Arabidopsis thaliana: one gene and its partners. The protein of the gene in region 1 purifies or fractionates together with the protein of each later gene. This does not show direct contact. Each region holds a gene or a part of one and is shown on either strand. Other genes may lie near its edges. The genes, in order: ARP7, emb1507 and AT5G57460.

Region 1 (3,755 bases):
CACAAAGGCAAGCTTTAGGTGGCGTGGTGACAAAAGAAGACACAAATAGGACAACTTACAGTGTAGATATCCCTCTCTGTGGCAGATGCGAAAACAGTTTTAACCAAGTCAACTGCTTCAGCTTCGGAAAGGGGCGTGTTTGAATCCTACATGGTGGCAGAAGACGAACAAATAAGCAACAGAACGATTCATTTTATCTTTACAATGCGAAACGCCAAAAGCACGAATGAAGAATATCAACAAACCTGTTTAGGTAGCAAAAGAGGACTTGGAGACTTGAGCTGATTGTCAAGGAAAGGCATGATGAGTGTGGAACCAGAACCTTGAGCACCGTATCCAACTCTCTCGTATGAGCCAACAGCGTCGTAAGTAAAGACACACCCTTTTCCTGGATATATTCAAGACTAAAGATCACACAAAGTACCCTCTTCTAAAGTCACATCATAACGGAGAAAAAAAGAGGAGCATTTTACCTTCCTCGTCAAGCCCTCCTAGAACATTAAAGGCATAGTAGGGGAAAAACCGCTTGAAATAAAGCGTGTTGGAGAGAAGCTGGGCCATTGCAGGACAGCTCATCTGCTTGTTATGCTGATGTTGATAGATCTGAAGGAAACCAAACACAGAGAAAACACTCTTACACAAGTCTTTCATCATTTTCTAATACTGCGAAGGATGAAAGATAATTGATCAAACGACCAAAGTTTAACTCACCAAGTGTCTGGATTTGAGAACCTTCTGCAAAGCTTTCACATCAGCCTGGAAGCCAGAGGAAGACAAAACAGCTCTGTCCGCTCTGGAAAAGTTAAAAGAAGACAACAGCTTAACAAGAGTCTTACAAGTTACATAAGATGAAAAACACGAGAATTCTATCTATTTCCATACGAATGAATACTTGTGGTATATAAGATCAACAACACAGTAACAAACACTCTTTACGTAAGGTTGAACAAACTCAAAGAACTACACACATTGTCAATAAACGTTATAAGAAAACGAATAAGCTAAGCAATAAACCGGATTATAGAATGATCAATGTAATCACAAAGTTTATATAGAGATAATTGTAACCACTATCAAAAGCCATGTCTAATAATAATTAAGAAACCTATTTTATCTCCACCCATATATAACTGGTTTCACCCAGATCTACGAATTACGATTGCAAAAAAACCCTAATAATCTACAGCAATAATAGTTCGATTGCCAGCATGGAATCACTCTCCCAAAGAATCAACAGTGAGAGAAGAAAGAGAATGGGTACTTACAGTTTATGGATTTTGGAGTAATCGCGACTAAGAATACTGTAACCAGTAGACATCCGAGTATCGGCGGCGATAACACAGTAATCCGATCCAGCGATGGCCACACATGTTCTGAAAAACACACAACGATTAAATTCACAGTAAGTGAATCGTAACACAATCGCCCAGATAGCAAATCAGAATAAAGAAGAAAGACACTAAGCGAAGAAACCCAGCAGGTTGATTAAAGGTCACACGATCCGTACCCTCCATTGTTATCGTAAGGAGACCAGTTCGCGTGCTGTTTAGTCATGGCGGATTTGAGAGAGAAAGCTTTGAGCTAGGGCTTAGAAGAATGAAAAATGGCAGACGAAGCTTTCCGGGTTTGTGTTTTGATGTCAAAGAAACTTCCGAATCGGATCTTATTAGCTCTGGCTTTGTTAACAAGAAAAAGACGGAGACTCAAAACAATACCGTTTTGGACGTGGAAATTACGGGCTGTAATAGGCTTTATAATGGGCCTTATTTGGGCTTTGAATTCCAAAGAAATAATCTTTCTTTTCTTTTCTTCTTCTTCTTCGTCTTCGATTTTCTCTCTCAACGCAAACTCGTAAGCTGCTTCCATTTTCCCTTCTAGACCATTGATTTGTTCTTCGAAAAAACCGTTCTTTCTTTTGCCTCTCACTCTAGTTCCTTCTCTCATTTCTACTTCTCTAGCTTCACTGACTTGCTGCTACCACTAAATCTTGGCATTTGTGGAAAGTTGGGAATTTAGGGTTTTTGGGTGTGTGTGTGAAAACAATGGAAGCACTAGTTGTTGATGCTGGCTCTAAGTTCCTGAAAGCAGGAGCAGCAATTCCTGACCAGTCTCCTGCAATGATAATTCCCTCTCAAATGAAACGAATGGTTGATGATGGGTCTTCTTCAGCTGATAACCCCACCACTGTCTTTGAGGATGTCACTCTTGATCCTATTGAAAGGGGTTTGATTAGAGATTGGGATGCTATGGAAGATCTGTTGCGTTATGTTGTCTACACTGGGCTTGGATGGGAAGAGGGAAACGAAGGCAATATACTTTTTACAGATCCACTTTGTACTCCTAAGGTTCTTATCTCCAAATTTCCTCCTTTGTTCTTAATTTAAAAGATTACAACTTTGAGTCTCTTTTCAATTCCCATAATCCTGTTCTGTTGGATTATGAAAAGGAACAATTTTGTTCTTTTAGTACCTCATTTTAGATAGTAAGACGTTGTTATTTTTAATGTTTCGACCTGATTTGGCTCTGCAAATGTTTGTTTGTGGACAGGCTATTAGGGAGCAATTGGTGCAGTTGATGTTTGAAACATTCAATGTCTCTGGATTTTATGCATCTGAGCAAGCAGTGTTGTCCCTTTATGCTGTTGGACGCATCTCCGGTTGCACTGTTGATATTGGTCATGGGAAGATAGGTATTATAACTTGCTTGGCCTTTGTTACTCTTTGTGTCTTTCACTTTGTCATAAACTCATAATTCCATGTTTTATGTGAGTTATGATGTTACATGAGATGCTGATTCCCTATACTAACCTTTTTCCATGATCTTAAACGTTTTGTTAAACCAATTTTTTTTGGATTCTTCTTGTGTTTATAGCTGGATATGATCAGGATGTTGTTATGTCTGATGTTTTAACTTTGTGGTTGATCCAACTCTTTTCAGATATTGCCCCAGTTCTTGAAGGTGCAGTACAACACATTGCCTCGAAACGGTTTGAGCTAGGTGGAACCGAGCTAACTAAATTATTTGCCCAAGAGCTTGGAAAAACCAACCCGTCGATGAATCTCAGCATGTCTGATGTTGAAAAACTCAAGGAGCAGTATGCAAACTGTGCCGAGGACGAAATTGCTTACAAAAAAACCCAAAACTGTGAAATCGAGCAGCATACTCTTCCTGATGGACAGGTTTGTGTGAAATCAAGATTCTACATTTTGTGTTGTTACCTTATACATATAGATAACAAAACCAATGGCCTTATAGGTGATAAGCATCGGGCGAGAGAGATACTCGGTTGGAGAAGCTCTGTTTCAGCCATCAATACTGGGACTGGAGGAGCATGGAATCGTTGAGCAGCTTGTCCGGATTATCTCCACAGTGTCATCTGAGAACCATAGGCAGCTCTTGGAGAACACTGTACTTTGTGGTGGTACAACCTCCATGACAGGTACTAACAACACTTGATATCATAGTGTGTTTGAATATCTTTTGGGTCGGAAAACTGAAGGGTTTGTTGGAATGGTCGATGGCAGGATTCGAAAGTAGATTCCAGAAAGAAGCAAACTTGTGCTCATCTGCCATTAGGCCAACACTGGTGAAACCGCCAGAATATATGCCGGAGAATTTGGGGATGTATTCGGCTTGGGTTGGAGGAGCCATACTAGCTAAAGTGGTGTTTCCGCAGAATCAGCACGTTACTAAAGCAGATTATGACGAGACTGGACCATCAGTGGTTCACAGGAAATGTTTCTGAAACCATAGAC
Region 2 (3,755 bases), on another chromosome or scaffold:
CAATATATGCCGCAACACGAGCTATATATATCCGTCTATGATACATATTTTTCTTTATATCAAGCTTTTCAAATGTATAGGTATAAGAACTCAATTTTATGATTATCGCCTCTACACGTTGTTTTTGTGCTTTTTTTTTTCTACTTTTGTATATATTTGGGTCATGCGTGAAGCGGTGAGAGTACTTTCGGTTGGTGGAATGTCACGATGAGCTTCATCTTTTGACCTTATCAATTCTAGTAGCGGTTCCTGACATGGAAATTCACGTATACATGATACGAAAACTGTTACATTTCGTCACTTTCGTCAATATTTCTACGCATATTATTCATATATGTTATCTATTTTCTTCGTATGTTTCACAAAAAACGTATTTTGGACTTTCTAGGGTTTGTTAAAATCTCTAATAGTTTATTCATAGTATATATGGAAGGAATATTGAGACAATATTACTCGAAATTTTAATTATGCATGGATATATTCAGACCAAAATGTCAATTAGCCTCCGAAATGTATAAAACAAGATAAAGGATTTATAGTGGTCAACCCATTATTGTTATAATAAAGGATTTTGTAGTTAACTATGATACATTGTAACACATTTGAATTTTGTGGCAGACTAGCGATGATTTTCTGAATGACCTTTTTCAAATCAATTGTTACTTGTAAAAATTTGTCATTAACAACCGTAAGTGATAATCGGTAGTTAAATATTCCTTCCATATATACTAATCAAATGCAGCGGTTAAATAATTGATAGGAAAAAAAACAGCATAGGCATTGTTACTTTGTGTTTACACTTTTGAATAAAAAGTATTATTAAGTAAAACAAATAAATAATAAAAAATATTATTAAATCTTGGAATAAAGTACACCAATTTTGTCATAAATAATTAACTCCGGCAAAACTTTAAAGATAATGGAGCCACACTATGTCACATGATCGATGCTCCCTCTAATCCGCAATAGGTGCTTACATGGATGTTTAAACCGAATTTAGGCGGACGAGAGTTCTTAGTTGTTTATATATACGTAATTTGTTTTGTTGTATATGTGCAGTAACAAAAATAACATCGCTTTAAAACAAAAAAAATTGAAGTGGTTTAGCATAATTTTAGATATTAATTAATCTTGGTAAACTCTTAAAAAAACAGTTTTGTTTTAGAATATTAAACAAAAATACATAATTGAATATGATGCTCTTGTTACGTGGATTTCCACACATGGCCTTTTTGGGACATTTTGATTTTCCACGTCTCAATATTTCACACGCCTACTTATGTGATGACTGATGCGTGATTAGTCAATTTTCTGTATTAAATTACTGTTTTGTTTGTTTGTCACCATTCTCTGTATTTCCTTAAAGAGTAAAAGAAAGTAAAAATTTAGTCACCGGTTGAGTTTTTTTCTTTCCAAACAAGAGTTTTAATGATGGAGTGAGTTTTTCTTGTACTTTGTCATGTTGTTATGGTAGTTGATTCTTGTTATATCGATATATAACATGAGAACTCTTTTTAATACAAAACTATAAATTATACGTGTTGCATGTTTGAAAACTATATTATCACTAAGATCAATAGATCTCTTTAGAGATTTGACAAAAATAAACAAAGACATATATATAAATTTTTTGGATATTTTTATGGACTGCCCAGTTTTCACATGATAACACATGAACCTTCGTCTCATATACATGTGCCATCTTTTACTAATCTAAGATTGCATTCAAAGTAATCAGCCTCCATGTCATTGTCACCATTTAAAGTTTTTCCCATTCCTTGTTCATTATTACACACACATTATATTTGTCAGCGATTATTAATGTTGAGGTATTAATATTTTGACAATTTTAATTCTTATAATAAACAAAAACACTTGCATTCATTCTCAAATTAACAAACGCAAAAGAAAGCATGAGACCATTGTCTTATTACGTTGGGCTTAGGAAGTATGTACAGGCCCAGCCCAATCCATGTACAGAGTCGGTTTCGTTATTGGATCCATAGTTTCAAAACGGCATCGTTAAAGTTTTCCACCTTAAGGCGGTATCGCTAGCTTATAGAAAGAATTCGCAGTCGAATAAACGAAGGAGTGTCTCCTTTAGTCATTTAGGTCGATTATTAGGAGATAGAGGACGTGAGAAGGGAGAGATCTGAGTCTCCTACTAGGGTTTCTTCTACTGGATTGATTCGTTGCAGAGAGTGAAGCTAAGAAGAGATTTTCGTAGCTGTTTCTGTAAGTTTTTTTTAATCTCCGTTTCCTCGATTTGGGTGTGGTTTTATTAGGGTTTATCATCTCTGGGAGCTTCTTCGTTTCACTTTTGGTTCGTTTCTTCGATTTGAGGTTAACATTGTGTATTTTTTTTTGTTCCTGTTTGATTTGGTTTCTAGGTTTTCGGATTGGTAGATGGCGAACTTGGGAGGCGGTGCGGAAGCACATGCCAGGTTCAAGCAGTATGAGTACAGAGCCAATTCTAGTCTGGTGTTAACTACTGATAATAGACCTCGGGATACTCATGAGCCTACAGGAGAACCGGAAACTCTGTGGGGGAAAATCGATCCGAGGTCTTTTGGTGACCGTGTTGCTAAGGGAAGGCCTCAGGAGTTGGAGGATAAGCTGAAAAAGTCTAAGAAGAAGGAACGTGATGTTGTAGATGATATGGTAAATATTAGGCAGAGTAAGAGGCGGCGTCTAAGGGAAGAGAGTGTGCTGACTGATACTGATGATGCGGTTTATCAGCCGAAGACTAAGGAGACGAGGGCTGCTTATGAAGCCATGCTTGGTCTTATCCAGAAGCAGTTGGGTGGGCAACCTCCGAGTATTGTTAGTGGTGCAGCGGATGAGATTTTGGCTGTTCTCAAGAATGACGCATTTAGAAACCCTGAGAAAAAGATGGAGATTGAGAAGTTGCTGAACAAGATTGAAAACCATGAGTTTGATCAGCTTGTTTCCATTGGAAAGTTAATCACGGACTTCCAAGAGGGTGGTGATTCTGGTGGTGGTAGAGCTAATGATGATGAAGGGCTTGATGATGATTTGGGCGTGGCTGTTGAATTTGAGGAGAATGAAGAAGATGATGAGGAAAGCGATCCTGATATGGTTGAAGAGGATGATGATGAGGAGGATGATGAGCCTACCAGAACTGGAGGCATGCAGGTTGATGCAGGGATAAATGATGAGGATGCAGGAGATGCCAATGAGGGCACAAATCTTAATGTTCAAGACATTGATGCATATTGGCTCCAGAGAAAGATCTCTCAAGCGTATGAACAGCAGATTGATCCACAACAATGCCAGGTACTCGCAGAAGAGCTACTAAAGATACTCGCTGAAGGGGATGATAGGGTTGTTGAGGACAAGCTGCTTATGCACCTTCAGTACGAAAAATTTAGCCTTGTCAAGTTTCTGCTGCGTAACCGTCTTAAAGTTGTGTGGTGCACTCGTTTGGCTAGGGCAGAAGACCAGGAAGAGAGGAATAGAATCGAGGAGGAGATGAGGGGGTTAGGCCCAGAGTTGACAGCAATTGTGGAGCAGTTGCATGCAACAAGAGCAACAGCGAAAGAGAGGGAGGAGAACCTGCAAAAAAGTATTAACGAGGAAGCCCGGCGTTTGAAGGACGAAACTGGTGGAGATGGAGGCAGAGGCAGGAGAGATGTTGCTGATAGAGATTCAGAGAGTGGGTGGGTGAAGGGTCAGCGTCAGATGCTGGACCTGGAGAGCTTGGCTTTTGACCAAGGTGGTCTTCTGATGGCGAA
Region 3 (3,755 bases), on another chromosome or scaffold:
TTAATCCAAAGACCAACAACGGCCAAAAAATTTTTCCTCTTGTAGAGCTCCGTCGTGTCCTTCAGATGATTCAATGGTTGTTTTTAGCAACAGCCTTAGGCGGAATCTCTCATTCTTGTATACATCAGAGGCTGAATTGATCCTCTCGAACTGCAGTTGATTCCTCTGCCACTGAATAACCACGGAAAAATAGAAAACAATCGAAGTGTTAAAGATCTTTTAGCTACAAGTAATCTGTTTTAACTCCATTTGCTTACCAATAGGACAATGAAGTATGTTAACTAGATTAATTACTTATGGCACTTATGAAGGCATGCATCATCATATTTTGTGGTTTCAGTCATTTTCTGGTTAGAATCGAGAAATTAGCTACAGAGTTCAAGTGAAAATAAATACAAAAACCATATCCACCAGGATGATCAACACTACCTATTCATAAAGATATTACGGCCAGATATAAAGATCACATCAGCAATTTACTCAACAAATGAAACGATTTGAAGATAGCAACCAAGTGGGAAATTTTCGACTTCGTGCAAATTCAATGATGCAAAGAAAAGAGAATCAGAGAACAAAGTGAGAAGCTTGCAGTAGACTTAGGAGCTAACAGGAATCTTTTAAAAAGCTTTATTATGAATAATTGAACATAGAATGCTTATAAACTAAAAACAAGCACATATCACATCTAACCAAGAGGAGGAATCCGAAAAAATAAACCTGGCTTTGCTGCAACCCATCTCCGGATCCTTCTGCAATGTACATAAATAATGGCTAATGAACAAATACTCCAAAAAATCCGGTGATGCTTCGAACAAAAACTATCCTACATAGCACCCGAGTTCACCTACGCTTGAACCGCACAAATCCCCTCTCGTGTGATCATGAACTCGCAAGAACTCCCAGGCAAATAAGGTGAAAACACTATGTCAAGCCGTCTCTTAGCACTTCTGGACACAGAACTTGAACAATTCTCGTCCTTTTCACTTCTATCTTTAACAATACTACCATCACTTCGTGAAATAAAAAATCTGGAATTCACACAATTAGCCCAAGCCAAGCCTAAAGAAGGAACAACTCGTCTTCCAGACGAATACAAATACCTCAAATTCCCAATCCTCAGCCCACTTAACCCATCAGAAGTTTCAACCAAATCCGTAACCTGATTCGTAATCACAATAGCCAAATCAAACTTGCTAGCCAACTGCTTCAATTTCCCAGATATCTTGAAAAACAAAGAAGATCTCTTCTTAAGATCAGACGGAGTATTATCAAACTCCGATCTAAACAATGCCGCTACAGAATCAAGCACAATCAACTTCAACGGAAACCTAGTTTTCGAATTCCCAACAAACCCATCTATCCTAGGCATTATGTCGAACAGGTGGTCTACAGAATGGACATTTTGTACAAACACATGATCACAAGGATTATCATTGTAATTCGCGTAAATACTAGGGTTTGATTGATGAAACGTGTGCGAGAGCTGATGGAGACGACGAAACGGAAATGGGAACTCTGAATGGAGATAAAGAGAAGAACCGTTGAGTCCGCCGTGTGAAATCGGAAGTTGGGTACAGAGCGAAAGCTGAAGGCAGAGCTGTGTCTTTCCGCAGCCACTCTCCGCAACGATTTCGGTTAAAGAATCGCAGGAAATTCCGCCGCGAAGACATCCGTCGAGGATTTCACAGCCTGTGGTTAGTTTACGATTCGTCGGCGATCGTCGGAGGAGATTCTCCGGCTTAATTTTCCCATTTTGCATTTCACCGCCAAAAGCTACCAATTAAAAAAAAATCGCAAAAGTTATAAGCGCTACAAAATTTAAAAAGACCTAATCGCGTTAAACGACATCGTTTTATCATATTATTGGGCTTCTTACCTTGACATTAGGCCCAATAAGTTAAGAATAAACGTCTACTATTGGGCTTATTTTCAAACCATCGCATTAGGTCCATGCAGGTAGGATACGAGTAATGAAACAAACGACGTCGTTTTCGAAAGAAACAACGAAGATCTCATTTCTCTTTCTCCTTTTCTTCTCCGACGATTCTTCTCAGTTCTCAGATCTGATCGATTTCTTCATCAGATGTTTCAATCTAACCATTGAGATTGAATAGTCACCATTAGTAGAAGCTTCGAGATCAATTTCGAATCGGGATCATGTCGTGTTTAGCCCTAGCTCTGCAACCAGCAAATGGATCCGACATTTTGCTCCAAACTAGAGAATGGTTTCCACCAGCAAGAGCCTTAATCGCTCTCTCGTATTTTCGTCAAATGCGTCAAGCATTAGCGTCCTCGAAGCAGCAGCATCAGCAACAATCGAATCAGAAACAGAATCAAGCTTCTTCTTCTTCTTCTTCTTCTTCCTCCGTTGCGGATCCTGACGATGCCACGGCGGCGGAGTTTGTAGGTGATGATCCACTCGCTGCTTCTAATGGACAGGTTATTGTTGGTGTTGAGAGCAAGTATCGTGTAGTTTATAGATTAGTGAACTCGATCTATATCCTTGGTGTTACTGTCGCGGATCATGATAATTCGATCAATGTATTTGAGTGTATTCATATTGTGAATCAAGCTGTTAGTGTTATTGTTACTGCTTGTCGTGGAGTTGAAGTTACTCCGGAGAAGCTTGGACGGAAGTATGCTGAGGTTTATATGGCGCTTGATATTGTTTTGCGTGGTGTTAGTAATATCCGTCTTGCGGCGATGCTTGGTGCTATGCACGGAGATGGGATTGCGAAGATGGTTCATTCGGCTCTTGATACTGAGAATAAGATCCGAGGAGCTGATAGTTGGATGGCTGTTGAATCGCATGCGGCAGAGCATCAAGCTTCTGTAAACGCATTTTCTAATGCAAGATTTGAATTGCCTCCGGAGACTGTTGCCGCTGGAGATGAGTTCGCGGCGAGCTTGGCTCCAGTGGTGCCTGAATCAGAGCAATTGAAGGAAGAACCAGAGCCGGAGAATAAGGATCCTTTTGCGGCTAGTGAAACGATTAACAAGGAGAAAGAACTTGTGGGTGGATTCAAGAAGACTAAGGATCCGTCCTCAACGGATTTGACTTTGGCATTGGCTGGACTTGAAGTGACGACATTACCTCCAGCCGAGGCAACACAGTCTACGCACATCAATGTGGAAGGATTCGAAGGGCAGTATGGTGGGATTGAGTTCAGCAATGAACAGGCTACGATTGGAGAAACTTTTGAATCGTTTAGTGATGCTTGGGGAGGTGGGTTGGATCCTTCAGAGTTTATGGGACCAAAGAAGATTCAGAAGAAGGAAGGACTCGGTGGGCTTGAGCTGTTGCACACCAGTGATCCGAAAGCAGTGGAAGGCAAAGATGGAGTTAATATCGATAACCTAGTTAAGAAGCCTGAGATGAAAGGTCCTGAAATGTATATCTCTGAGGAAATTAGAACCGAGTTTAGAGAATCCTTGCTTGCTAGAGTAGGAGTAATGGGTGTGATCTATCTGAAAACGATGCCACCCAAAGGCTCTGGTGAAGAGAAAGAAACTGAGTTCTCATTCCGTGTTGAGGGTACTACTGCAGTTAAGAGATTTGCTATGCAGAGTTCTCGGATCAGTAGCTTAGGGAACGGTTTGTTTCACGTGAGAACTGCTCCATCAGAAGAACCAATCCCTATCCTTAAATATAGCTTGCAACCTAAACTAACCCCGTTGCCTCTTAGAGTCCGAATGGTGAAACGAATCAGCGGGACTTTACTCTCACTTATGATACAATACGTCTCAAATCCGGA

Evidence for each region.
Region 2: the proteins of ARP7 (region 1) and emb1507 fractionate together in Arabidopsis thaliana (co-fractionation; one large-scale study listed by BioGRID). This does not show direct contact.
Region 3: the proteins of ARP7 (region 1) and AT5G57460 fractionate together in Arabidopsis thaliana (co-fractionation; one large-scale study listed by BioGRID). This does not show direct contact.

The regions. Positions count from the first base shown.
Region 1 is NC_003074.8:22,472,256-22,476,010, forward strand, and holds the start of ARP7 (actin-related protein 7), read left to right. Parts: upstream 1-1,727; 5' UTR 1,728-2,042; coding exon 2,043-2,345; intron 2,346-2,547; coding exon 2,548-2,689; intron 2,690-2,937; coding exon 2,938-3,179; intron 3,180-3,255; coding exon 3,256-3,439; intron 3,440-3,524; coding exon 3,525-3,745; 3' UTR 3,746-3,755. Other genes in the region: PBF1 (N-terminal nucleophile aminohydrolases (Ntn hydrolases) superfamily protein), read right to left, coding at 56-146, 246-388, 474-603, 712-793, 1,266-1,373, 1,508-1,554. UniProt on the Arabidopsis thaliana protein: Essential protein required during embryogenesis and all plant development stages, probably through a chromatin-mediated regulation of gene expression.
Region 2 is NC_003070.9:7,308,566-7,312,320, reverse strand, and holds the start of emb1507 (U5 small nuclear ribonucleoprotein helicase), read left to right. Parts: upstream 1-2,049; 5' UTR 2,050-2,235; intron 2,236-2,390; 5' UTR 2,391-2,406; coding exon 2,407-3,755. UniProt on the Arabidopsis thaliana protein: RNA helicase that plays an essential role in pre-mRNA splicing as component of the U5 snRNP and U4/U6-U5 tri-snRNP complexes. Involved in spliceosome assembly, activation and disassembly.
Region 3 is NC_003076.8:23,273,164-23,276,918, forward strand, and holds the start of AT5G57460 (muniscin carboxy-terminal mu-like domain protein), read left to right. Parts: upstream 1-1,946; 5' UTR 1,947-2,157; coding exon 2,158-3,755. Other genes in the region: XRCC3 (homolog of X-ray repair cross complementing 3 (XRCC3)), read right to left, coding at 845-1,759.